4 linked regions of the Arabidopsis thaliana genome follow. The protein of the gene in region 3 purifies or fractionates together with the protein of the main gene of each other region. This does not show direct contact. Each region holds a gene or a part of one and is shown on either strand. Other genes may lie near its edges. The genes, in order: AT2G18900, MEE5, EMB2765 and ATRPAC42.

Region 1 (6,450 bases), 8.0 Mb from region 3:
TTTCTCTCAATTTAACACTTTCAAGATGCCGATCAACAAAGACCCATCAACACCTCCTCCTGTTATCGGAAAAATCGGTCCTTACACTGTCTTTATGACTCCTCCTGCGACTCCTAAACCACCTGAATCTCCCTCCGCTGTGTCTCAGAAGCCTGTGATGGCACCACCGGTTCTTCCTCCGCCGCAGCAGTTTAAATCGGTGGCTTCTTCTGACCAGGACGGCTCAGTTTTGGGGTTCTTTAAAAACGCCGTCACAAAGGTTCAAAATGGTGAGAAATCTGATAAACAATTAACTGATTTTCAGCTCAAAGTTTCCTCATTTTTAGATCTTGAATTTGAGATTGATTTTTCCGATACCCTTTGATTGATTGATTAGGAAATTGAACTCAAAAATGATATAAATCGTTGTAAAGTTTCTATCTTTGTGAAGTGATTGGAAAGTACTAATGTTACATGAATTCTAGCTTTTCATACTGTTTATGTGATTTGGTCCTAAAAGCAATTAGATTGTGAATTTGACATTCATGTTGTGTGTGTGTGTTCTAATCCATTTGACTACAGCACATTCAAGTGTGGATGATCATTTGGTGAGGTGGTTTGGGTTAAACCAATCTAAGTATCAGTGGGCTTTGGATGAGTACTACGAAAGCAAAGAATCAGTAAGTTTTTTTTTGAGTCTCTATATGTTTCCTTTGAGTCTCTATATGTTTAGTTTCTTGTTCTTGCGGGTCCTGTATCGTTCTTTGTACTAGTTTCTATCGATAATCGATTCCTTTAGTCCGATTGATTCATCAGCTTTTTGTTTCATGTACATTTTGCGTAAGCTTAGAAGTAAAGCTAGTTTAAGTGTTTTTTTGCTCTTTGCTTCTAGGCTAATGAACATAACAATATACAACCAATGAAATTGATACAACATATTTGAAGCTTGATATTCACTCAATATCAGTTGTAAAAATTGTTCATTGGTATTTGGTAGTCAAAAATGTCATTGATTGGTTTTAGAGTTACTACTCTCTTTAGTCATTGATTTGCTTATGTTCCTCAAGTAAATCTTGTAGTTAACACATATCTTTTGAATCGAACGCAGGATATGAAGACCGTGAAAGCAAAGGAGATGCCGGGGAAAGTACAGAGTGTATAAGCAACCATGTATAAACTCATTTCCCCTTTGGCCAATTCTAAAATCTGTTTTTCTGAGAGAGTTCAAAAAAGCTTGAGTCTTGAGGAAAGTTCTCTTCAGATGATATTTAATCTTAGAGATTTCTTTTGGTATATTTCAAAACCTATGTAGTAGCTCTTTCTAGTTTCATCTAACAATGGTGAAATCTCCAAAGCAAAATGGAGAGATGTCATTGGTCATTTGGTTTGTTGTAAGTTTAATCACATTATTTACTTTTTAATTGTATCGTTATAATCTATATATTGTCTCAATTCAAAAAAGTTTGCTCAGTGTTTTTCTTTTGATTGTTGTCATACATGAAAACTTTTGCTAGATACCTCTCAAAACTTCAATAATTATCTTCATCAAACCTAACAAGGCCCATTACAAAGGCCCAAAAACATTATTGTTTAATATTTTCCGATTAAATAAATAGATAAAAACTGAAATGTAATTGAGCAGAAAAAAAAACAAAAGAGACGAAGAAGGGTTTAAGTTAGGGCTTTTGAAGTAAACCAATTTTGTGCGTCTCCCTTTTCTTCTTCTCTTCCCAATTTCACCGCCTCTCTCTATCGCCGGAAATTAACCATGAAACGCGGCGGAAGAAGCTACGTAACTTCACCTCCATCATTCTCCAACGACGCTAAAAAGCTTCTCGTCTGCACAGGAAACACTGTCTCTGTTTTCAGCGCCGCCACTGGCTTACAGGTACCAAAAATTTAATTCTTCTTCGATTTTGTTAGGGTTTCTATTCGAATCATTGATTGATACATTTCTGTTTTAGATTACTTCGCTTGAAGGTCATACAGCTCCAGTAACAACTCTAATTGTTGTTCCTGCATCAAGTCCTGCTCAAAAAATCCTTTGTTATTGTTGGACTGCTTCTCTTGATGGTACTATTCGTCATTGGGATTTCTCTGGACCTGAGCTATTGAAAACTATTGATGCTCAGCTTCCGATTTACTCTATGGTGAGTATAAAAAAAGTTTGATACTTTGATTAGGTTTTGTGAGTGTTTTGTTTGATGAAATGAATCTATGTGTTTTGTGTGTTTTAGGTTATACCATCTCTTTTGAGCGAACCTCAACAAATTGATAAACGTCGTGAGTTGTCTGGTAAGTTGGTTGCTTATGTTTCCGTTGAGGATATAAGTGTGGTTAACCAAGGGTCTAAAGAGTTGCGTGGACATATCCGAAGATTTAACCTCGCTAAGTCGCGTATTCCTCGTGGAGATACTTTAAAAGAGGTTAGTTTTTTTAATGGACTTATTTGAAAGAGGTTTGTCTTTAATGTTGTCTTGAAGTTGAATTGTGTAAGCTCAAGTTATTTGCTTATTTCTTTGTGTAGACGGCAGAACCAGAATCTATTGTTATTAGTCCCTCGGGAGAATTTTTCGGAATCCGTCACAAGTGTAAAATTCATATATGGGATGTTCCTTCTGGAGGATCAAGGCATGCGGTTTCAAGGAAGATGACATTACATCACACAAAGGTTATCAATGCTTTTGCTTTTCATCCCACGGAGAGAGTTATAGCTGCTGGAGATGTAACTGGAAGAGTGTTGATTTGGAGAGGATTTGGTAATAGAAAACTTGCCTTGGGTAATCAAAAGAAAAAAGTGAGAGCCATGGTTGATTTGGACAATGCTGGAGTGAGAGGTGAAGATGATGCTGAATCTTGCACTACATGGCACTGGCATTCTGCTGAAGTTAATGTCCTTAATTTCTCTTCCGATGGAGCATATTTGTATTCAGGTGCGGCCGAGTTATATTCTGATATCCATTGGATTTATGAACCGACATAGACTAATAGGTCATGAGCAAATTTACTGTTTGAAAGTAATGTCCTGACTTCTTACTCCATATTGCGTCTGTTTTCTGACTCTTTAGGGGGAAGGGAAGGGGTACTTGTCGTTTGGCAGCTAGACACAGGGAAAAAGAAATTCTTACCAAGGATAGGATCCCCCTTGCTGTATTTCATGTGGTCTCCAGATCCAACTCTTTCTTCTGTAAGTCGGAGCTTACTCTTTCATTCTAATCTAACACACAACTGCTGAAAGCAAAAGGGAATGTTTTACTGATTTGACTACGAATGAGAGCTGCAGGTGGTTTGTGCAGATAATCAGATCCATTTGCTTAAAATGCCTTCCATGGAGATCTTAAGGACCATTTCTGGAATCAAGGTTCGTCTTGGAAACTTAATAATTAAGGACCTGTAATCATTCTCGTCAGTTTTGTCAACGATTCTAGGATTCTAGAAACTCTCGCAACCGCTTTACCTTTTTCTTGGTGTTTACTTCAATGTGTGTTATTTTGTTACAGCCTCCCCCATCATTGCCTAGGATGTATGAAGGCTTGGCTAGTACTGTTGCCTTTGATCGATCTTCTGGCATAGCTGCTTTGTGCACAGAGAATTATTGTGTACAGCTATATAATCTTCTCAATGACCGGGGAATTTCAGAGGTTAGAATTTGGCTCCAATATATCCTTAAGAAACTCTATGCCACTTTCTCCTGTCTATGAAATCTCTAACTTCTTTAATCAATGCTTTTGCAGATTCAAGTTTGTGAGAGAAACCATCAACCAGGAGATGAGATCACAGTAAGTACATTTCCTTGCTGTTTATTTGATAGTATATCTAAGATTATTTTCGTTTGGGTGATAATTTGAGTAAACGGTAATAGGTTGTGGTGACAGCGGTTGCTCTCTCCCTGGATGGCTCAGTGATGAGTACAACCGAGGTGAAACTTCCGGAAGATGGAATAGGAGGCTTAGTGTCCCTCAAGTTTTGGGCGTCTGAACCAGACAGCAAAACTTTCACCTTATCCACAATCGTATATGAACCTCATAGGTTAATATTTCACCCTCTGCTAATGGATAAAGCTTTATTTTTCACCATTACCCAATTTTCTTGTCATGTTTTATTTCTTGTAAACCTTGCAAACATAGATTTCAATTTCTCTTATTTAGTCTACAAACTGTTATATCCTTTGCAGAGAGTAAATTTTATTTTCCTGTATATCTTACAGGGATGCCGGTGTCTCAGCCATTGTGTTCCACCCTACCCGCTCCATGGCAGTGAGTACATCATTCGGTGGTGACTTCAAGGTAGTTCTTAAACTGATTTTACATTTTTCTCTCTGTGTTTTTTGTTTGTTATTATTGTCTTACTGATATCACTTTTGCTGTTTCAGATTTGGGTATGCAACAGTGACAAGAACCAGACGGATAAAGACTCTAGCTGGATATGTCACGCTGTTGGCTCTTATAAGTAATAGCTTCTCTACGCGCTAGGAAATTTCAACATTCACAAATTATTCGCCTTGGCGATCAAATTTATATTCTCTTGCCTTTGAATATTTTCCAGGAAGAAACCAATGACTGCTGCTGCTTTCTCTGGGGATGGCACTGTTATGGCTGTTGCGGCTGAGAATGTTATTACACTGTGGAATCCAGATAAGAACATTCTCTTGTCTGTTCTAGGATCGACACTCACGGTAAAACCTATGAAGTTATCCCTAAAAAAGCTGGAACCTTTTTCCATAAAGACCAATGTTTAAACCTCTCTATATATTATTACAGCCTATCACGAAGCTCTGTTTCGCTGGAAAGTCTGAGTTCCTTGTTGCTGCATCCCATATTCCAAGACCTGAACTATCTGTTTGGAATACATCAAAGTTATCTTTATCATGGTCATATGGGTTACGCATAGAAGGTCAGTATTATAATGCTTCTTTGATTTCCCCATGAAAACTCTTGCTGTGGTTTACTTAGAAAATGCTTGTTCTCGTTCTATAGCTGTCACCTCTGCAGTGGATTCGTCAGCATTTGCAGTCTTGGCTGTGATCCCAAAAACTTTTAAAACAGATGAATCTAAGGAGAACATCTTCCGTGGTAGAGATGGTGCCATTCTTTTGTTTAACGGATCAGATCCCAAGCCGGTATCTATATGGACTGTGATGAAGGTATGACATAAGAAATAGCCCGTTAGTATTTAACCTTGGAGAGACAGGAAAGAATCCAACGAGTTAAACAATGTCTAAATTGCAGGCTAGGGGAGGATCAATCTCATTTTTAGAAGGAGATAAGTCTCAGCTTCGCCTTGCATATGTAAATGGAAGCCATGAATATGTTGTCTTTGATCCCAATAGTGATGAGTCACATGAGCGTAGCGCTGTTGACTACGATGGTCTTGCTGGTCTGGAAGAGACAGGTAGTTAAAACTTAAAACATATTTGAAAGAACCTTTGTTGATTATACCATGTTACTAATCGAAAAAGTCTCAACCTTTTAGGAGACGCCGGGTACACATCCTTATACGGGCAGTTACCTGATTATGACAAGAAGAGAATGGAGGATGTTGAGTCGTTGGGAACACCGTTTGTATCATCAGAAAGACCGTGGGAAACAATATTCAGCGGCTCCACACTAAATTTCCCGCCACTTCAGAAATTATGTGCTGAGTTCTTTGAGTCCCTAATGGAGAAAAGAACGGCCGTTGTGGAATGAGACCTTACACAAAAAGTTTTTTGTAAGGTTTATTATACAGAAGAAGAGCTCATTTTTGCAGCCATCTTTGGTGAGCAAAGTTGTTGAGTTTGTTCAGGAAATTTTGTAGCTCTTTGTTGTGAGATTCGGTCCAGTTTATTTATGTTGTTGCTACTCAAAAAATACAGGATTCTAACCAATTGTGCCATGTTTGACCCAAAAACGAAATGAAATATCACGACCTGCCTTTTTTTTTTTCGTTTCTAAAATACGGCATGCATTTATATATTTTAATGCAAATTGTTCTTGAAATCATAATGAGATTTATTATACTGAGGGTGCTTCGTTTTTAAATTTGAAAAATGTTCATGAAATCGTTATATATCCTTAGTGGAAATAAGCAAAATAATTTGGGGACTTTTTACTTTTGCTAATAGATTCTCAATAATTGTGAAACGAGTCAGGTGCTCCTAACCCACCAAAAGAAATTATTCCAAAATCCAAATATTTCAACTAACACCTTGCATTATTTTATTTGAACTTTGCTTGATAACATTTTGCATTATTAAGTTGGAAAATGGGAATACAAATAGATATTTCATATTTCGTGATTCGAGGTTCATCTATTATATATTTAGCTCTTTTGGTGGTCCAATATGTTGAGCAAATTATTCTTTAAGTACATGAAAAAGGTAATTGCTTTGGGGACACTTACCTTTTTATTTTTATTTCCACATGCATGTAGGACAATAGTTTGCAAGGTTTGTGTTACGTCTTCGAAAAGCTTTCTACTTTTGCAAAAAGA
Region 2 (7,191 bases), on a different chromosome or scaffold from region 3:
GTTGATGGAGCCAAATGGATATAACCAATGAAGATAAGGCATGACGTTTTCAGAGTTGGCAATGCACATAAAATAAGGTGGAGGAGACCAATCTAAAACCTTAAACGATGTATATATTAATCCACCAGGGCCTTAACTATATATTTTGTAGCTTTATTCTATGTATAATAAGTATAAGTGGTTGCCGCCACGTCCACTTCGATTTGTAAAGAGCACGTCAACGTAAAAAGCTGATTATGGAAGCATGAAATAGACGAAAATAGTAAAGCACAACAAATCTTTGAGACAAGTAGTGACGTTTGACGAATTAACCGATTTTCATTGGAGTAAAATAAGTCGTCTGTGTGCACTAAATTAAATTATGAAGAAAAACTTACTTATATCTAGATAGGTTTGTGCCATTGACCTGGTTTATCTTTAAATTTAGCATTTTTGAAGAATCAAATCTTAGTTATGCAGAAAACTCTTTGCGGAAATAGGATCTGGATCGTACGTTCTCTGTATCATATGTATAATTACTAATCATATAGACAACAAACTATGAGATCATCTTATAAATGATAGTGTCATAACCTAGTTCAGTTTCCCATAATCCAATAGTAGTTTACAATTTTACAAAAATTTGTGAACATTTCCTGTCAACTATTTGCGAGTCATGTGTGAGTGTGACCATGTGGACTGTTGAGTTCATTAAAATCTCTCAACTTACAACGTAAATTTGACACATCAATTACAAAACTGATCCACATTTTCTTGTTCTCCTTTCACATATATAGAGAAGAGAAGATACTACTACTAGTCCTGAATCACGATTTATATGAAAAAAGTGCAGAGATCATCAAATCATCTGCAGATGGAGATCGCCTGTTTGCTGGGCAAGCTCTACCATCATCGCTTCATCAAAGAATTTATTTCCGCTGACGTCTTCGCTCATTCCCTGCATAACCAACAAATTATACATATCGTGAGAGTCTGAAACTGATGATCCAAACACCCAACGAGTCATACAATATAACTAGCCTAGGATGTATCCAGCAAATTATAGCTGGTGTTACTTGGTTAAAGAGTAATTAGCAAGGGCCGGGTTTGTAAACAGTAGTTTCGGGGATCCTTTGGTTTGTGAGGGTTTACTGGGGTCATTTAACCAAACACTAGAGTAACAAATCAGTTTATGGTTTCATTCGTATCTTTAACCGCATGAAACCCACTAAGTTTTGGGATGTGCATTGAAACAAAGGAAATCATAATACCTTTCTACGGCGGGTCTTGACCATGAATTCCCGAGCTAGATGCTGAATAGGAGCGGGCTCAAGTGGGCGCAACTGGATGGCTTTGTCTAGAGGGTCTCCTGGCACAATGGCCCAGTGATCAAACACAGATAGGCAAAAGGCTTGTCCCTGAGTGTGGTACCTCAGATCTGTCTCAAACCCAAAGGACTCTATCACAGGCAGAAAGGCCTGCATCAACACCAAAGAATATACTCAATGAATCATCACTTAGTCAAATAACAGGAACAAAGTAAGGAGAAAAGACACAAACAAAACTAACCTTCACGATATAAGCTGGAGTACCGGGTTGAGGAACATCAGATGTGACATGCCCACGTCTACGTGACAAAACTGTGTAGATTGCAGTTACACAGTCGATTGGTGTTTGTATCTGCGACAAAACCATAACTCTTAGTTATCATTTTAAGAGAAAAAATGTGACGAGCAAAAATGGAAAGGGATTATGTACCTCCACATAGTAGACAGGTTCCATTAGCCTTGGAGTTGCCATTAGAAAAGCTGAATATGCAACACGTCTTGCTGTTGGAATCATCTGACCAGATCCTCTATGCAATGGCTCTGGTGCTATCCGTGCATCAACAATCTTGAACTTTACATTTCTGATGGGCTCATCACAGAGGGGACCTTCACGAGCACCCCACTGGAACCTGCAAGAGGAATAAAACGAAGCCACTTAGCTAAAGCCAACAAAATCGAGTAAAAGAAAAGTGTAACAGAAGAAAGATGATTACCCTTGAACAATGGAGTCTTTCACTGCCATCATCAAGTTCCTGTCCACCTCAGTTGGAAGGGTGTCATCCAATAATATGTTTGGCCCCTGATCAGTCGAAAATCAACAATCAATGAAATTGTCAAAACAGACATAAACCAACCATAACAATAAAGATAAAGTAAACCCCAGATTGCAGTGTTTTAAGAATACAAGCATTTCACCTGTTTGTCAGGGCCAAAAGCCCAGATGGAACGTGCAGCAAGTAAATCCCAGTCATATTTCGTCCTGAAGAAGTCACCAAGTTGTTTTCTGTTCCAGTCAATGCTTACAACGCCATTCTCAATGTCCTCTGCAAGTCCTCTATCCAATGGCTCTGCAATCTTTAGCATGAAACAGATATCAGATTTTTCACAAAGTAATTGTGCTTGAGCACCATACCAAACATCGCAGTCTAATATATAAGAGATAATAGTGGAAAAAGAAGATCTCTTACCATAGTTATTTTGTTCTTTTTGTTTGGTGTCTCAGCAAAACACTTCATCGACGAAGATTCAACCACTGTCTCACAGAAGGAGACCACCGGATCTGCAACCTACAAATTTAAGAAAGCAAAAGGATCTTAGCTATCAAACAGCCAAATCAGCAATTTGCTTGCACACCGGAATCACAGTCATAGAGCCAAATTAGAGATACAATTAGATACCTTTACTTCGACCTCTGAATAGAGCTCCCTGAGGTCCTTCATGATTGAATCCAAGTACAACTCACCTGTGCCTAGAATAGTATGTTCCCCAGACTCCTCAACTTTGGTAATCGCAAGGGGATAGCTTTTGCTAATTTTCCTAAGCCCTTCCACCATTTTAGGCAGCTCACTAGGATTCAAAGGCTCAGTTGCAGTCTTGACTACTGGGAGGGTATTAAATTGGAGAGCCCGGAATATGTAGACATCTTCATCATAGCTTGCATTACACAGAGTCGCAGTTTTCATGATGGATGCATCGACACCTTCAATTAAAACCCAGGAACCGGGAGGGGCACTGCTTACTGGTATTCTATACCTAGCTTGATATATCCATAGCTTCGTCACTTCTTTTATAGTCATGTCCTCCTCATCCTCAGGTGAATACCCTTCTCCTAGTACACGTACGCTTTGCCCTGTTTGAAGCCTACCACTATAAACTCTTCCAAACACATCAAAAACACTAGTATCTGATTTGGGGTACAACTTTGTCACATTAACCATGAGAGGTCCAGATGGATCACATTCTACCATTGATTCATAAATGGGGGAATCTTTGGTTCCGGTATATGAATGGTCGACCTTCCTAGCTGCAGCCTCTCTGGGTGAAGGAATGTGCTTTACCAACATATCAGTGAACCCTGATGCCGAACCAAACACTGAACTACAGGCTAACCTAAGTAGAGGTCTGACGTTCAGCTTATATGCACTATTACTCAGAGTCACTCCTAATTCTGCAAGGGTGGTCTCTACACTCTTCTTATGTTCACCTATCACTTGGCTGTATATCTTGTATAGGGGCTCCAGAATAAACTGAACAAATGCTCTTTCTCCACCACCTACTGGAGGACTTCTCTTGAATACCCTAGTATCAGAGTGATAATATACATCTCCCCAAAGTCGAGATGCAAACTTATCCACGTCCATGGCCACACCATGAAGCTTGGCATACATTTTAGCAAAAGATTGTAATGTGAAGGACCATCCGGCTGTACCACTGGCAAAACATACATTTCCAGCTGCAGGGTCTATAAGAGGTAAGTCTCCAGCAGTTGTTGAAGCAGCAGATATGTGGTTATTAATGACTTCAATTGTATGCCTCAGCTTGTAGTAAGCATCCCTTGGAGGTAGTTTGAGCTCAGTTATGAGCCTGTCAACCTGTTGGGGGAAAAAAATTGACAAAAAGCAAAGGTCAAGCAAATGTATGGAAATATAAAATTTCACACAGTATCTCTTAAGTTACACGTTGAAGCATGAAGTACCTTATTGATAACAACTACAATAGGGAGATGGTCCTGGATTGCATGCCGTATAGCTCTCTCTGTGTTAACCTGAAAAAAGATTATTAGCGTCAGTACAAATAGTATACTTCAAAAAATTAAAAATACAGACCAAAAAAGAGAGAGTAAAGACTTACCATCACTCCTTCAGCAGCATCAACAATCAGAACAGCACCATCAGCAAGTCTTAAAGAAGCAGTCATTTCGTCAGAGAAATTGACATGTCCAGGGGTATCCATGATATTGCACAGGTATGATTTGGATCTACTGTCCTCAAGGACAAGAGACATTGGAACCGCCTTGATTGATATATTTCTCTCCTGCTCATCGACTCGTGTGTCTGTATATTTCATATGCTTCTCGTTTTTAGCATTAAAAGTAGACATATGATGCGTCTGCTCTACCAACATATCCATGAAGACAGTTTTGCCGTGCTGTAGATGCCCCACAAGAGCAACATTCCTCACAAGCGCAGGATTAGACATGAGGCCGATAAGAAACTGTGTTGACACATACGTTGCTTGATCTTTGACCCCCACCTCAAATCTAATATCTCTAACAGGTTTGATAATGGGTTGCTCAAGAGGCTGCTCATCTTCATCCATAACCAAGGTCTCAACATCCTCACCATAAACCTCCTCAGCAGTAGGGTAGTACTTCTTATCCTCAGGAAGAACAATTTGGTTCTCCATCTCAACATCATTGATAGTGGTAATCCAGCCATTAGAACCCCCAGGCCCTTGTTCGCCATCGGAACCATTTTCTTCAAGATGCTTATCTTGGAGATCTTCATCTTCTACTTCATCATCACTATCTCTGTCAGACTCAATCTCAGGTCCAACATAGTTACCAAACTCATCATACAAGCTACTTTCCATCTTTATGTAAACCTGTCAAAAAAGAATCCCATGAGCAATCAGGATTTTGTAGCAGATAAACAATAACGGCAAAAAAGTCAAATGAGTGCATTACCACAAAATCAAGCTTTTGATAGATCTATCTGGGTTATTTACTATAGCAATTCTGCAACATATTTTATTTAACCCATTGGCGAGTAATCTCCTCTAATGCTCAACACCAAGTCCAAGAGAACACCATGAAAAAGCTAGAATCAACCAGAAACTTAAGGTAATTAGACTAGAGCAAAACCCTAGGAGAGAATCGAGCAGAAGCTTATGCTAAGTTGGACTAAAGAAAAACAACAAGGCGAGAGTCGAGCAGAAGCGTTGGAGTAGAGCAATAACCTAGGGTAGAATCAACAAGCTGAACAAAGTTAAGGAGTGAGAAGACGAACCGGTGGGGAGAGAGAGCGAGAGGCGTTGCGATAGCTAGAGGAAAATGCGAGTTGGCTCGGCAATAGGGTTTGTCGCCACTGAGACTGTTATCGCCGGAACAAGGGAATGAAAAATTTAGATTTAGGTTTTGATTGGAAGACTCTACGTCGGACAGAGAGTTTTAGTCGGTATATATTGATTAAATTATAGTAATTGAAATCTATTTGTAACGATGTGGGATATGTTGATGGGTCGGGTCCAATTATATGTCAATCGGCCCAATTTAGAAAAAATTGAAACGTCTAAACCAGAACGTAAACCGGGTTCACTATGTTTACTGCAGAAAAAATTCAGTAAAAGTTTTAAAAGATGTTTGCGTTTTGCGATGGATGAAGCAAAATTAGTCGTATGTCACTTAGGAGTTCATTTTAGATTGAAAGCTGCGATTTGAAGAAGATAGTAAGCATAACAAGATGGTTATAATGATTACATGAAGACAGTTCTTTACTCAAGTGTAGTGGGAAGTATCATATACTCTTCAATCGGTACAAGCCCTTATTTGGCTTTGTTGGTGACAGGGGTAAACTTTTGGAATATCACTGTGAAGCATCGTCCAAGAGACAGTGAGAAGTATCGTATAGACATATACTCTACAATCGGTACAAGACCTAATTTGGGTTCTCTAGTTGGTGATAAGGGTAAACTTTTGAAATATCCCTGTGTAGCATCGTCCAAGAGACCAAGACTCCGATTATTATTTGACTTGAGAAGACTAAACACATTAAACACATTAAAGGTTAGACTTCGTTTTATCATTTCGAGCGAGTTTATCGGAGAGTGAGGTGAATTTTATCAAGCCATTTATATAATCCAGAGGAGATGTAGATACTCACCTCTCAACACATAAGCAATAGGCTAAGTGCAAACCAAAACACCTCGTATAAATGTTTCGGGTGAAGATTCACCTACGGTTTAACAATGTCTAAGAAACCACTTTAAAACAGAAAGTGAGAAACGAAGCTAAAAAGGTTCCACACTTATAATGGAAGTACATTGTTATAATTTAAAAGTAAACCATCAAGAACAACTCTTCGCAACATTCTGATATCCATGTCGGAAGAAGACAACAAACACAGACTGCTTATTTTTCATCTTCATCACTCGAAAGCCCCAGTTCTATTTTCACGGCCTGCTTCTCTTCTTTGACGGTTTTGTTGGAGGATCCTGATGCTTCTGAATGTTTTTTGTCATCATCAGCACCCGTTTTCTTTACAGGCTCTTGTTCTTCTTGTTCTGTTGGTTTCGGACCAGTATCTTTGCTTCCTGATGATTCTTGTTCCACAATGGAGGCTTTCTTTTCGGTTTCATCAGGCTTCTTGTAACTAGATAAAACTTGTTGGAGCTCATCATTCAGATGCAGAGCCTCGAACAGGACTCCCTCGTCGTCTGTTGTACTCTCTATGATCATTTGAATCAATGGCTGCGATTGCTTGCATTTCTCCATCAGGCTAACCGTTAGATCGTCCTGTAACCATAATATATATAAACCTATTACTTATCACTGTCCTGTCAATTTCACTTTAAGCACATATATCCAAGGAAACAATAATGTAAACCAGGAGATACTCATAACTCAATCCATATTCCATAGACATTTGTTAAGGAAAATGACAAAAGTTAGATGAGCAGACAACGTAGCAACTACCTCTGTGTGATTTGGCTTTCCTTCAGTATTCAACATGCTAGAGAGCAATTCGAGGCTGTTCCGTGTAATCTCAATCTGTTCTTTCTTATCCTTTATCGATAAGTTCCCAAAGTTATAGTCAAGACCATCATCGTCCCCAAGAGCCTGTTCTTGATTAGGAACCGGATAGCTACCAGGTGGAGGCACTGGAAC
Region 3 (8,005 bases):
CTTCCTTGAGCATTGAGCTCAATATAAGGAATACCAAGACGAACAAACCTCGTAAACAAACTCTGATCCATGTGACTATATTTCTGGAAAGCCATATTCTTCACCACGGGAGGCAGCTGGTGGTGATCACCAATCAATATACAGCGCTTGAGTCGTGCATGACCATCTTCTTGCCTCTGAAGCAGCATTGGTATGAAAGTCTCAATTTCCAAAATCTGAGCACTTTCTTCCATCAATAAGTTATCATATTTGAACCCTAACTGAAGAAAATCTCTCCTCTTTAATGCAGCATGAGTACACGTCATTGCTACAATCTTTGCTTGTTTGGTCATCAGATAATTTGCTCTATCAGCAGTTGACTTGAGTAGTTCAAAGGCCCTACACTCTTCTAGCTCTTGGAACACAGTCTTGAGATGAGAGAAACAACCTTTAGCTGCCCTCATGTCTTTCTCAAATGACTCCCCATTAAAAACAGGTTTAGGGGTGTCTGAGAAGAAATCTTTGAACGGGAAGCGATCTCGCACAAAAGATTGATTGTCTTCATTTCCTGCACAAGCTGCGAGAAACAGCTCCCAACGCGAGTATACATGAAGCAACCAGAAATATCCAGCTGTTTCACAAGTATATCCTACATCCTCTGGAAGCTGAAGAGATCTTGCTAGTCTCTCAACCTCACTGAGGAGTTCCAGACGCCGAACAAGCATGGCATTGACACGGCCTTGTCTGCTAAAGTCAAGATCAGTGGCAAGCTCTTGTTCACCTTGACCCAAACGAAGTAGATACCGCGCTGGTACATCCCTCTGAAAAAAGATCCATGTAGCATTTGACTCTCAGAACTCCGTCAAACATAAAACATTAAATATGACTCCATATAAATAACAAAAGCAACGAAGATGCCAATAGTACCTCCATTATCTTCTCAAAAAGATCATTCAAAGCCTGATTTGAATGAGTGATTATCAATGTCCTCTGAGAAGGACAGTTGTGGTATAGAACATTCAAAATTTGCACTGCTGTATCAGTCTTTCCGGTACCTGGTGGACCAACCACCATAGTTAGCCCAGGCTGAATACCAGAGATAATTGCTCCAACCTGCAGGAAAATAGTAGGCATGGACATGGTTTAGTTACAACTTGCAACAATGATCCATATTTTGAATCCATACCAAATGTTTTGGTATATTTTCTCATTCTCATCCAAACCACCATGAGGGAGAAAGTGATTTGAACATTAGGTAAAACTTTCTTCAAATAAAACAGAATGATGTGGGAACAGTATTGACCACTCAAATCGATCAATGACCAAATGATTTACGTTACGATGGAAATAACAGGTGCAAAATTTTACATGGGTTATAAGTGTCAGGTACCCAACACAATAAGGCGACATAAAGATGATGAATAGTATTCTCGTATGACATAACTCTTCTGTAAAAGTAGGAAGGATTCTAAGATAATAAATTTGTCATCTTCCAAAACAAATAGCAAGAATGACGAAAAGTTGACAAGTATAGCACAGCACAATTATATAAAAACCAAATCAGCATACTGCACTTAGGATGTAGAAATAAGTAGTACCTGTGTAGGTGTAAATTTAACTGAGTTCTGCTTCGGCTGGTCCTGAGGATAAGGCCCTGGGTCAGGTGGGGTATATGCCTCAACAATAAGTTTCTCCTTCGGGGAAGCATCCACCATATTAACATTATCTGCTGGATTCACTTCAGATATCTTGTTTCCAGAAATAGCACCATTTCCTTTTAGTGTCTTTGGAAGAGTGATTCGAAACGGAGGACTTGGATCCAGAGCTTCAGCACCTTCAGCATTGATGAAAGAAACCTAATATGCACAAATTATTAGAGACATGGAAAGGAACTAGTTCTAGTCTTCTAGATCACATCATATACAAAAGAATATAGGTACTAACCTCATAATCTGAAAAACTTTCACTGAGATGATTTGCATTAAGGAAAGTGTCTTTGAAGTCCACTATTTCCAACAGGTTTGGCATATTAGGCCACTGTGCAGCAGAAGGGTTGCCATACCCAAGAAAAACATTATGCAACCACTCCGGCACAATACAATATTCGTTCATAAGATCTCTGATAGATTCCAGAATAGCCTTGAAGTTGTTCTCTTTTGGTTTCCTCCTCATTAGCACATTAAATGTGCCATACACATCCTCAGCACCTTTTTCAGCGATGTCTGTAACATCTATATGATACTGTGCAGCATCTAAAGCGACAGTCACAGTCCTCATTTCACCTTTTGGGGGCTTCCATTCATCCCGTTTAACTCTTCCAGTAAAATCATTCATCAGATTACCCTCCTCATCGCGGATATCGATGATTTCACAACCACGAACATACTGAAGCCCGAGCCTCTGTGGAACTGTAGCTTTATCAGCTTCCTCAGGACCTAATGGCTCAAATGAAGGGCGTATACAAAGCAAAAACAACACGTCATGCTCTTTAAGGGAATTCCATTCAGATCTTATCTGCGTTCTGTAACTCTTGATACTGAAAGTAACTTCTGCTGTCACAGATGAAGGCTTCTCTTCTCCAATATTAGGCTGTTTCACCTGAGCGATTTTGAAATCATTAATAGGAACCGCCATTCGTGACCAACCACGAAAAGCAGTGTCTCCCTCGTTATTTATATGTGCAAGAAGATGTGGTACAGCTTCTTGTATATCTTCACGAATCTCATAGGTGGATTCTAGACGGAAGAGGTTGAAGTTTCTAAGGAGATAATCATGGAGTGTTAGAAACTGAAGATTAAGCTTTGGAAGAGCAAGGCAACCTTCCCCAGAATAATTAATGCTTGGAATAACACTTTCGTCCCACATGATTTGCTCATTTGGGTACAAAGGCAGAGCGTTTATTGCTTCTTTCTGAGACTGTTGCTTCTCAAAAGAGGAGACAACGACTTCAGTCAGAAAATCTTTACTATCTGCCCAAGGATCATGTCTTGAAACCAGTTTGAGCTGCACAAAAGCAAATGAAAATGAGAACCAATGTAGGTGGCAAGGTGTATAATTGTTGTACGTGAACTTCTAAGGCAACAAAAGTATATTTTAACGAAAACTAAAATTAGCAACAGCAAGAGGCAAATACAGTTTACATATCTCCTTTCTACTCTCCACAGGCACAAATACATCTCTTCACTGATTTCTCACACTACTCTGCGTACTACTGTAATGGCCTAAAGGGAATTCAAACAAGTAGATACATAACGTCTACATTTGTGTCAACCCATAGATCTTTTAGCATGTCAACTTAGACTTTGTATTCTGATTTTGCTAAGCATTTTGCCAATAATATTCACTGAAAGCTCACAACTATAAGAGCCTTAGCATAATGAAACTGGCAGAAAAGATATGATCATCATAGAATTGCCTCAGCAATATTCCATAATCATATCCTGAATTCCCATGCAGAGTTTGTGAACCTACAAGAATATGCTTTCCAGATATATACCTTTGAGCAGACAACATCCCTTAAATCTTCAAGAGAAAGCACAGACAATCTCCTCCGAAGATCAGAACTCTTGTGAATCGAACCAATGTTAGCCAAAGACAGATCTTGCAACTGAAGCAAACCAGATAAAAACAAATGTGAGAATCTAGAGAAGCGTTTGCCAAAAAATATTAGAAAATAAGGAAGAGAGTAGATCAATGACTTCAAAATCCAATAGTAACATAACAAAAATACCTAGTACACAAAACTACCTATCTATTAATTAACCATGATTACCAGGACAATACCTTAGGTATTTTCTTAAAGGCAAGTAGCTGAAACGCCATAAAACGATCGTAATGAAATTGAAGTGCTTCATCATCAGTTAATTGTGTTCCATCATGATCCTTTATCTCAAACTTTTCGTAGAACTGTAACAAGTCAACTAGTTGGGCGAAAAGCTTCCCTTTTTCATGTTTGTATAGGGCACTCAGTCGACATTTGGCAACAACTGCTATATCCGCCACAAGAGGTCTTAGGTATCTGTAATAATCAAGATGAAGAGATGGAGAAAGGAAAAATTAAGGTCCAGTAAATGAATGGCTCAGAAATGGACAGTGTAGAATGAGGAAGCGTAACAAGACTAAGACCTAGATATTATTAGGAACAAAAAAAAACCCTAGATATTTTAGTCTACAAAAAACTTGCATAGAGGCCCTGGAGGGAAATATTAATACCTTCTTGTTGGAAGTTGGTTCAGCATGTCAATAAGAAATTCCATGAATCTCTCACAATATAAGACAGAAGAATCATCGACCAATTGAGATCCAGCAGTATCATCAACCTCATCCGCAAAAACCCCATGATCAAGCACCTGAACAGAATGTTATGAATTATGCGTAACTATGCGAAAGATATATTTGACGAACATAGACCACTACAACCCAATAAAAACAGGCTATATACCTCAACGAATTCTTCTATTAGGCCTCGAACAAAATTTGCTTCAGGGGATGAGGATAAATCAAATTTCTCTCCCTTTGACTTTGCCTCAGCTGCCCATTTCTTTGATGACCTCTTCCACTTTTTAATTAGATCAGGTTGAAGGCAGAGCTCCATCTACAGTTGTAAAAATCAATGACGATATCAGAGCAACTACAAAATATTTTCACCATCCTTAACAAAATCCATGTGAAGGAAACACCCACCTGGAAACGTCCATAAGACAAGCTGTGCCAAGATTGTAATCCTGCTAGACTTAGAACAATCTCATTAACCACTGCGTCTTCCAAACTCTGTAACATCACACAGTTAAGAATATTGAAGAAAAACAAAATAGCACAAGGATATAATTTGTGTACAAACATGAATAATAAGGTTTTCCACGTGAAACAAACAATTTACTGAGTAGCACACAGCTATATTGTCTGCAATTACTGCTTACTATATCATGTATTAATTTTCTGATCTGAAACAGGCGCAACAGCATTCTAAATACTTACGACCTATTCAAAAGTTACATGCAAGAAACGGAACAAACCTGGAAAGCATTAATCATGAAGACCAAATAGTTTGTCTTCTCAGCAATAGTCAAGTCTCTTCCCTACAATGGTAAGCAAATGATATATAAATATACGATTGGTTTAGCAATGGCTAATTATGATTTATCACTATGCCTCCAAATATATAGCGAAGTCAATTCCAGGCATAAGACAATGTTATAAATCACAGGTACAAACCAAATTATCACAAACAGGAACAACACTAGAATCACAAAAACTAAAACAACAGGTAGAATACAAACCTCTTTAAGGCGAAGAACCTTCTGTAGAAACTTTTTGAATAGATCATCCCGATCATGAAAGCAAATCCAAGCTGCCACATTCTCCCGGAACTACAAAGCATGTAGCAATGTTAAACTCCACTGTTTACAGCTCCAACAGTCCAATACGAAAGAGAGCAAGATTAGTTACCTTCTCGTTAATCATAAGAATCATAGACATAACATGCTCGAACGTAGCAGTCTCAGGATCAAAATTCGGCCATAGATAGTTCTCCAAATACTGACTCACTTCCAGAATCATAACTCGCTGAAGTGGAACAGGTTTACGACCACTAGTTACCTTAAGCTCCGTCACATAAATCTCCTTCACAACCTCCGGATCGAACGGTTTCTCAGGGAGCTTACCTCCAGTCTTAATCCAGCTCTCCTCAGCGATTTTCGTTAACCTATCTTGCTGAATCTCCGATAAAGTGATGGAGCTCGGCAAATTAGATCCAGGCTTTGACTCTAGAGGCTTCTCAGCAGGATGGCTAGGTAACTCCAATGGATACTCCGCCACTCTGTGGCGCTTGAAGTCGTACGTGCCAGTTCCATAGACCTTCGTCATTCTCTCACGCGAAAGCTTCTTGCTCAGAGAGAAGTGAAATCAACACATACAGCAAACGAAGAGGTTCAGAGAAGGGATTTAGAGTGAAGAAGAGTAAGATTTTTAGGGCTTAAGCGGAGGTGAGAGTTTCATCGACGACGTCAAAGATAAAAGGCGGTTACGACCGACTCGACCCGACCCGAGTGATGCTAGTTTAATTACAGCTGGACTTGGGCCGATATTGGGCTAGAAGTATTTTAGTCTGGACTGGAACTAGAAATAATCTTAAGAGTAAAATTAATATAAATAAATAATGGTGAGCAAAAGCCAAGTAAACCGAATCGAACCAAAACTGAATTTCTTATGATTAAAAAACATTAAACAGTAATTTGTACCAAATAAACCAAACTAAAACCAAATTTATGCAATCGGATAACATAAAACTTTACATTCTTTTAAATTAGTATTTTGATTTAAAATAAAACAACTTAAATATGAGTGTGCATAAAAAAAAATTGAACTGAGCCAAAATAAACGAATTCGAATCATAATTGATCAATCTAAACCGAATATAAACCGAATAAAACGAACTGTTTATGCGCTCTAGTGACCAAGACCAATGATGAAATGGATGGGTGGTGATGTTGCATCCACGAGTCCACAAGTCTGTGAAAACATTGCACTCCAAAAATGGCTAACCAGCTCTTCTCTCCACCAAACCATGGCTTCTTTCAACCACTCTTGGCTCTCTTCTCCACTCACCGAAACTCCCGCTTTCTTTTTTTCTCCATCTCAACACCCAAAATCCTTGAAACTCTCACTTTTCCGAACTCGGAGCAACTCGTCCTCACCGGACCGCTCGTCAGAGGTTGAGCTCGATGTGGATCCGGTGAAGCTCGCATTGAAGAAAGCCGAAGCTTATAAGAAATCGAAATCAGAGCAAAAAAAACCAGAGAAAAATGCCGGCGACGAGGAATTGCCGCTCTCTGTTAAGGCTGCTATGCAAAAAGCCAATGATTATAAGAAAAGGAAAGGACTTGGAACTGATGCTGTCGCAAAAGCTAAACCCAGTTCAGTAAAAAATCATCTTTTGCACAAAATTCTTGTAACTGTCTTTGCTTGAGTTTGTAGATCAATGCACTTTTCTAATAGTCTTTAGTACATCATTCATGTGTTTTTCGTGGCCTGTTCCTTGAAAAGATTGGTTTTTGATTAGATTTAGGAGTAAAGCCTTGATTTTTAGCTGTATTAATGGAGAATTGTTCTCATGGGTTTCAGGTAATACAGATCAAAGTTTCGTTAGATTAGCAAATAAGGTTGTTGAAGATAATGATGTTAAGAAGAAAGAATTGAAAGTCTCCAGCATTGATTTCATGGGGCTTGGCTTTGCTGATAAGAAGAGCACGAGGGGGCTTCCAGCGGGACTTGTTCCTGTTGTTGACTATCTTCCTGAAGGAGACTTACCTGAGGTGGAGTTTATTGTTGGTGATAAAACAAGATTTGCGGAGAAAGTAAAGGAGGTTGAGCAAGAAGGAGATGGAAACTCTGATGTGTATAAACCCAAAGTTTCTACATGGGGAGTTTTCCCAAGACCTAGCAACATCTCTAAGACGGTATGTGACTGGCCCATCTAAAGATATGTGTTATGCAACTGGATTAGTTTTTTTCATAAACCCCCAAGAGGGAAGAAGTTGCATGTCCAATGTTGTTAAGTTAGGGTATATAGAGCCACTTACTCCAGATTATTAGAGGTAGGAGTGCCAGAAAGGTTTCATGGGTTTATTATTTAGTTCGCATACCATTTAGTCTACTGTGAAATATGATGCATCAAAAATGATTTGTTGGTTGTATTTTCCACATTTTGGATTGTTGGCTATAACCATCAGCTCTTAACTTCGATGGTTTTGGAGTGTATATTTTCCTGCTGGCATCTATGGTCTCAAGTAATGAGGATTGAGATATATACTTTTCTTGTTTAAGTTTGGTGGTGGAAGGACACTCCGACCGGGGGATTCAGTTGAGACCGCTGAAGAGAGGATTGTGAGAGAAGAAAAGACAAAAAAATTGCTCATAGCCTACAAGGAATCACTCGGACTGAACATTGATCCCAAACTCAAACTTGAGTGTGAGAAGGTACTCCAAATACATTTTTGTTCTTACAACTTTTCTGAGGGCAGACCTG
Region 4 (4,759 bases), on a different chromosome or scaffold from region 3:
CAGTCTTACTATTAGCATAATCAACTGTTTATGTACTGATGTCTTCTAATTAGAAAACTTAAAAAGGTAAAGAAAAAATAGAAAAAGAAAGAGCTCAGTTAAGAGGCCATATCACCAGATAAACTGGAGAAATGCAAAGGACCCAACCTTTACAGAAACCGATTTCATCACAGCTCTATTGCACCAGCCGGGAATCGAACCCGGGTCTGTACCGTGGCAGAGTACTATTCTACCACTAGACCACTGGTGCTACTTGTTTAAATGTTACTTCTTCAGTTATTTATACATAAACTCTCATAGTTCATATTTAATGAGAACATTTTGTATAATCTAATGTGGCAGGGATCTATTCTACCACTGACGCTATTTTAAGTGTTCAATGAAACCAAAAACTACTATTACCAACACACACCTTGATTGGCACAATGTAAGGAATGGCGTCAGTGTTCTAGTGGTAGAATAGTAAAACCAAATTAAACCGAAGCAGATTTCCAAAATTGGTTCAGCTAGGAATTTTGTTATGAATCAGAACTCAGAAGGCTAATGAAAATCCAAATTGAACAACAACCGTATAAATAAATATGTCAATGTTGTTTGTTGGTAATTTATCAATAGGAGGAGAAACATTGATAGACAGACAATTCAAAATTGAACTAAACCAGAACTCAAAAGTCGGTTATAGCTTCACATTTAGCTTCCAATATCTTCACAGCTTCAGTGAAGAGAACCTCTGGAGGCAGTGATCCGGTGGACTCAATGTTAACTGAGAAAAAAGACGACAAGAAACTCAATTACGATATCTTTCAGATCATGAGTAGCAGAGTAAAAGGAATGGGTTTTATTTTTCTCTTCTTACATATAAAATGGTTCTTAACACTGCCAAGATCCACATGGTCTACCAAATCATCGTCTCTTACGCATTCCTTACACAATGTGCACTTACGTGGCTGCGCTACTGTTGCCCTTTTCTTACCTGTTTTCCACAAGTCAGTATGAAATCAAATTTAAGTAAGTCATGCAGCCAAGTTCATCAGCTTGCATAAGATTTTATACTTCACCTTTTCCCATGTCTTCAATGTCGAAAACATTCTGTGGGCAGACGTTTACAAGTCGTTCAGCAAGTTCATCCTCAACTTCCCCACGTAGAACCACCTAAGATAGTATAAACAAAAGCATTACGAAACATATATATTGGGATGAGGAAAGACAAAACAAAGAGCTGTTTCCCATAAAGCATATGATAGATTGATGTATATACTTCTCACCTCAGGATGCATTCTATACCAAGCAGTCCCTACTGGAGACCACTTTGCATGTGTTTTACCAATGCCCTTAACCGCATGAGCTTCGAGCTCGATTTCCTGGGAAAAAAGAGATAAAAGAAGATGCACATGTTTCATCTCTCATTGCAAGTATGGTCTGCTTGGGTGTATATAAAAAGAATGTACAGAAACACTACCTGACCAGGGGCGAGTTTTGCTATCAAGATATCGAGGTCGCATGGAGTGATAGGATTATTAGCAAATTCAGGTAATGAATCTTGGCTGCAACTGAATGAAGTGTAAGTTTTTGGCTTTGAGGTTTTATTTTCCGATTCTCTCAGAAGCTCACTTCCATTTGGTAACCATTTTAAATCACTCGTTAAAACTACAAGAAAACGAAATGATATCTTTCATGAGAGATGGAGCTGATAATAAAACAAGAAATCTTCTGATGCTAACTAATGAACATATATTACCTTTAAGACGTGGTCTATTTTTCGGACATTTCACATGGAGTTTGAATACAATGGTGTTCTTTTCATTCGCCTGATCATGTTCTATCATACACAGATAAAGAAGTAAGCTAATCAGAAGAATTATCATCATATGTAGATGGATCACATACCACTGAAATATATGCTTACCGGATAAATATTCAAAAAGTCTTGGATCTGCGGCAATTGGAATAAGACCCATCCTGTGAGCAAGAACTTCGTCTATAATAACCGATGTGTTGTACGCTATCAACACTTTTTCAATAGCCATTGAAGGAACCTGCAATAAAGAAAGAAGCACTTTAAGCCAAAGATTACAACAATGAGGGATTCATCAGAGGTTGTATGAAAACTTGACAGACCTCAGCTATAAGGATCCTTCGGAATGCATTGGCAAACGCTGCATCAATACCAATCATATCAAATTCCATATCTGTCTTTGTGAGACTAACCACATCAACTTTGAAGTTATCATAGAAGTTTCCTAGCTTCACATTGTCGTCCTCTTCCGTAGAAGAAACATAGGTACCCGAGTAAATGGCACTCGCAGTCTACAGAAAACACAAACACAAGATTAAAGACTTCAAATTTCAAACAATCACTACTCAATATCATCTTGAATTTGAAAACAAAAGGTGTATTCTGGTAAAACACTTAAGAGCCAAACTCGTAAATTCACAGCTTTTCACAGGAAAAAACAAAACTTTTACTCTGTATCATGAACACAGCAACGATAGAACTCAAACCCACATGGGATCATTGAGAAAAGCTATAAAATTTGTAATTAGATAAGCTTATAACCAACAAAACAGAGCATAAAAGATTGTAACTTTGAACGAGAATAGTTCTTACATGAGCAGGAGCGTTGTTTTTAGAGACGACACGAGTTTGCTGGGCTTTGAGATGTGGAGGAAGTCCGGCAGGGACGTCAGGGAGATCGTCTATGTTGAAATTTTTGGCGAATTGTTTTTCTGCTTTAGTCACCATCCTTGTCTAGGTCTATAGCAGAACTAGGGTTTATCAAATTGAGAAAGAGAATTGAAGGGTTTAACAAAGGAAACCACAGGGGGTGAGGAAAGTAGTATTGGGTCAAAGAGTGAAGTCGAAGAAGCTTACCTGTGGCCGAGAGAATTGAGCAATTTAGAGAGAAAGAGAGAGTAGGAGGCGGCGGCGAGGAGATGAAGAACAAACGGTGAAGGGTTTTGAAAAAGCCGCCGGTTTTATTTAATCCCTTAACTCTTTCCGGTTCGAATTAAAACGCATTATTACCAAAAGAAACAATAAAAAATTCATTTCAAAAGAATACTTCTTCTTTTTTTACATTTCAAAAGAATACTGTTTAACACTAAAAATAAAGCCATTACTTTAAAAAATAAAAATTTATTCCACAAGATGAATACTTTCTTTTGCTCATGATTTTGTTTTATAGCAAAAAACAATAATAAGAATTTATTCTTTTTCGGTGAATTGTTTAATTTAAAAAAAAAAAAAAAACTTTTCTGCAATCAATTCGCAGCATATTGGTTAAGCTAAGAATATAAACTAAAAACATATGTAAACAACAATTCTAGGAATGACTCCTTTTGTTTTTGGCATCTACTGTGAATGATAGGCTTTTTTGAACTCTAATTAATATTGGTCAAAAAAAAAATGTCGATGGGACTCTTCTACGTTAGTATCTAAGAATGTGGCAATAGCACTACTTAATTTAGAGCAAAATAATAGAAGAAAACACGACACTTACTTCATCAAATTTTTGTTGGGCAATGAGAATGTTGTCTATAATAAAGTTTCCGGCTACAAAACACATATTTGTATCTCGGATATCAAATACAGAAGAAGAAAAAAAAACTTTGAGGTGCAGGCTTAGAATCTTTGAGATCATCTTATGTATAACATTACAAAGGCTAATACAGTAGGTCGGAATCTTGACATTTCCTAGAGTTCTATCTCCTTCGGGAATTAGGTAAATATTGGAGCATCAATGCGATGAGCAAGTCATGACCAAATACTACAACAGTTACAAGTTACATTCCTTTGCGTAGCAATCAATCAGCAAATGGTATATTGGTAATTTACTGACACTCTGCTAATAGAAGGAAGAGCTCTTCATCGGTTATGGCTCCCATCTCCATTGCCCTTTCCAACACACTTAATCCTCCACCATCCTCTATTGATGGACGAGCACCTCTGTCAAATTCAAAGAAGAGAGACACTAAGTATCTACTCAAAGTGCCCCTCATGAGATTTATTAGTTAGTGTGTTACCTTCTCAGCAAAACCTTTGCAAATGCGTTGTTCCCTGATGCGATGCAATGGTGTAATGGAGTTCGTCCGTGGTAATCTCTCATGTTTATGTCAGCCCCGAACTGCAACAGCAGTTCAAGCAAGATTGGGTCACCGCTTTGACACGCCACATGCAACAATGAGCAGCCTTGAAGACAGTTTCTTGCTTCGTTCGAATTCTTGATTCTCTGACACGCATTTGGATCGTGCCTTTTCTTTACTTCATCTGGTGCATCAACATGGTGGTGGTGATATACATCAAGGTCAGTAATATCATCGAACTTGGTATTGATGATATTTGCATCTGCTTTTACAATGAGTCGGTAGATGTCTCTTATGTTCCTGCTTTGAACCGCTTCCCATATTCTACTTGAGGCAGTAGAATTTGCTTCTCTTTCATCTTTGACAACTAGTGCTTTCTCCAGGTACTAGCTAGGCATAAACATTATCAGCTTTAGTATCATAAGCCTTTTCTATTCACAAGAATATGCTCATTTGGATGATGCGTCAAGTGACATGAATCTGAGGTCTATGTATGCGAAAACTTTAAGAACTAAATCTCATACCTTTCCGTTAATATATTTCTCCTTCAGAGTAAACCAATCTTCTGAAGATGGTTTCGAAACTGATGCAAGTGTGTCTGTCGATCCCTTTTCACTGTAAATATTCAACAGAAGATAGGATCATAGGAAAGTAAAGATCACCAATCTCATGATTT

The links.
Region 1: the proteins of EMB2765 (region 3) and AT2G18900 fractionate together in Arabidopsis thaliana (co-fractionation; one large-scale study listed by BioGRID). This does not show direct contact.
Region 2: the proteins of EMB2765 (region 3) and MEE5 fractionate together in Arabidopsis thaliana (co-fractionation; one large-scale study listed by BioGRID). This does not show direct contact.
Region 4: the proteins of EMB2765 (region 3) and ATRPAC42 fractionate together in Arabidopsis thaliana (co-fractionation; one large-scale study listed by BioGRID). This does not show direct contact.

The regions. Positions count from the first base shown.
Region 1 is NC_003071.7:8,187,707-8,194,156, reverse strand, and holds AT2G18900 (Transducin/WD40 repeat-like superfamily protein), read left to right. Parts: upstream 1-1,620; 5' UTR 1,621-1,747; coding exon 1,748-1,867; intron 1,868-1,943; coding exon 1,944-2,129; intron 2,130-2,216; coding exon 2,217-2,405; intron 2,406-2,506; coding exon 2,507-2,912; intron 2,913-3,047; coding exon 3,048-3,166; intron 3,167-3,262; coding exon 3,263-3,340; intron 3,341-3,479; coding exon 3,480-3,620; intron 3,621-3,713; coding exon 3,714-3,758; intron 3,759-3,841; coding exon 3,842-4,008; intron 4,009-4,186; coding exon 4,187-4,265; intron 4,266-4,351; coding exon 4,352-4,428; intron 4,429-4,524; coding exon 4,525-4,654; intron 4,655-4,739; coding exon 4,740-4,872; intron 4,873-4,955; coding exon 4,956-5,122; intron 5,123-5,207; coding exon 5,208-5,370; intron 5,371-5,451; coding exon 5,452-5,666; 3' UTR 5,667-5,920; downstream 5,921-6,450. Other genes in the region: AT2G18910 (hydroxyproline-rich glycoprotein family protein), read left to right, coding at 26-269, 562-659, 1,088-1,141.
Region 2 is NC_003070.9:1,898,231-1,905,421, reverse strand, and holds MEE5 (Ribosomal protein S5/Elongation factor G/III/V family protein), read right to left. Parts: upstream 5,472-7,191; 5' UTR 5,315-5,471; intron 5,190-5,314; exon of another isoform or gene 5,126-5,189; 5' UTR 4,993-5,125; intron 4,911-4,992; 5' UTR 4,899-4,910; coding exon 4,158-4,898; intron 4,072-4,157; coding exon 4,003-4,071; intron 3,899-4,002; coding exon 2,705-3,898; intron 2,594-2,704; coding exon 2,495-2,593; intron 2,382-2,494; coding exon 2,223-2,381; intron 2,107-2,222; coding exon 2,021-2,106; intron 1,937-2,020; coding exon 1,738-1,936; intron 1,660-1,737; coding exon 1,549-1,659; intron 1,458-1,548; coding exon 1,251-1,457; intron 938-1,250; coding exon 839-937; 3' UTR 525-838; downstream 1-524. Other genes in the region: AT1G06210 (ENTH/VHS/GAT family protein), read right to left, coding at 6,436-6,819, 7,000-7,191. UniProt on the Arabidopsis thaliana protein: Splicing factor involved in pre-mRNA splicing and component of the spliceosome. Essential for reproduction. In female gametophyte, is necessary for the egg cell and central cell fate determination and hence reproductive success.
Region 3 is NC_003071.7:16,204,410-16,212,414, forward strand, and holds the start of EMB2765 (P-loop containing nucleoside triphosphate hydrolases superfamily protein), read right to left. Parts: upstream 6,020-8,005; 5' UTR 5,845-6,019; coding exon 5,428-5,844; intron 5,349-5,427; coding exon 5,259-5,348; intron 5,058-5,258; coding exon 4,995-5,057; intron 4,750-4,994; coding exon 4,663-4,749; intron 4,574-4,662; coding exon 4,421-4,573; intron 4,329-4,420; coding exon 4,192-4,328; intron 3,998-4,191; coding exon 3,763-3,997; intron 3,587-3,762; coding exon 3,476-3,586; intron 2,983-3,475; coding exon 1,924-2,982; intron 1,836-1,923; coding exon 1,578-1,835; intron 1,093-1,577; coding exon 907-1,092; intron 801-906; coding exon 1-800. Other genes in the region: AT2G38780 (cytochrome C oxidase subunit), read left to right, coding at 6,443-6,893, 7,102-7,436, 7,804-7,956.
Region 4 is NC_003070.9:22,397,413-22,402,171, forward strand, and holds ATRPAC42 (DNA-directed RNA polymerase family protein), read right to left. Parts: upstream 3,002-4,759; 5' UTR 2,873-3,001; exon of another isoform or gene 2,756-2,872; 5' UTR 2,744-2,755; coding exon 2,609-2,743; intron 2,308-2,608; coding exon 2,119-2,307; intron 2,037-2,118; coding exon 1,907-2,036; intron 1,820-1,906; coding exon 1,739-1,819; intron 1,648-1,738; coding exon 1,460-1,647; intron 1,362-1,459; coding exon 1,266-1,361; coding exon of another isoform or gene 1,176-1,265; exon of another isoform or gene 1,153-1,175; coding exon 1,059-1,152; intron 974-1,058; coding exon 857-973; intron 764-856; coding exon 666-763; 3' UTR 501-665; downstream 1-500. Other genes in the region: AGD2 (ARF-GAP domain 2), read right to left, coding at 3,832-3,946, 4,024-4,469, 4,608-4,698.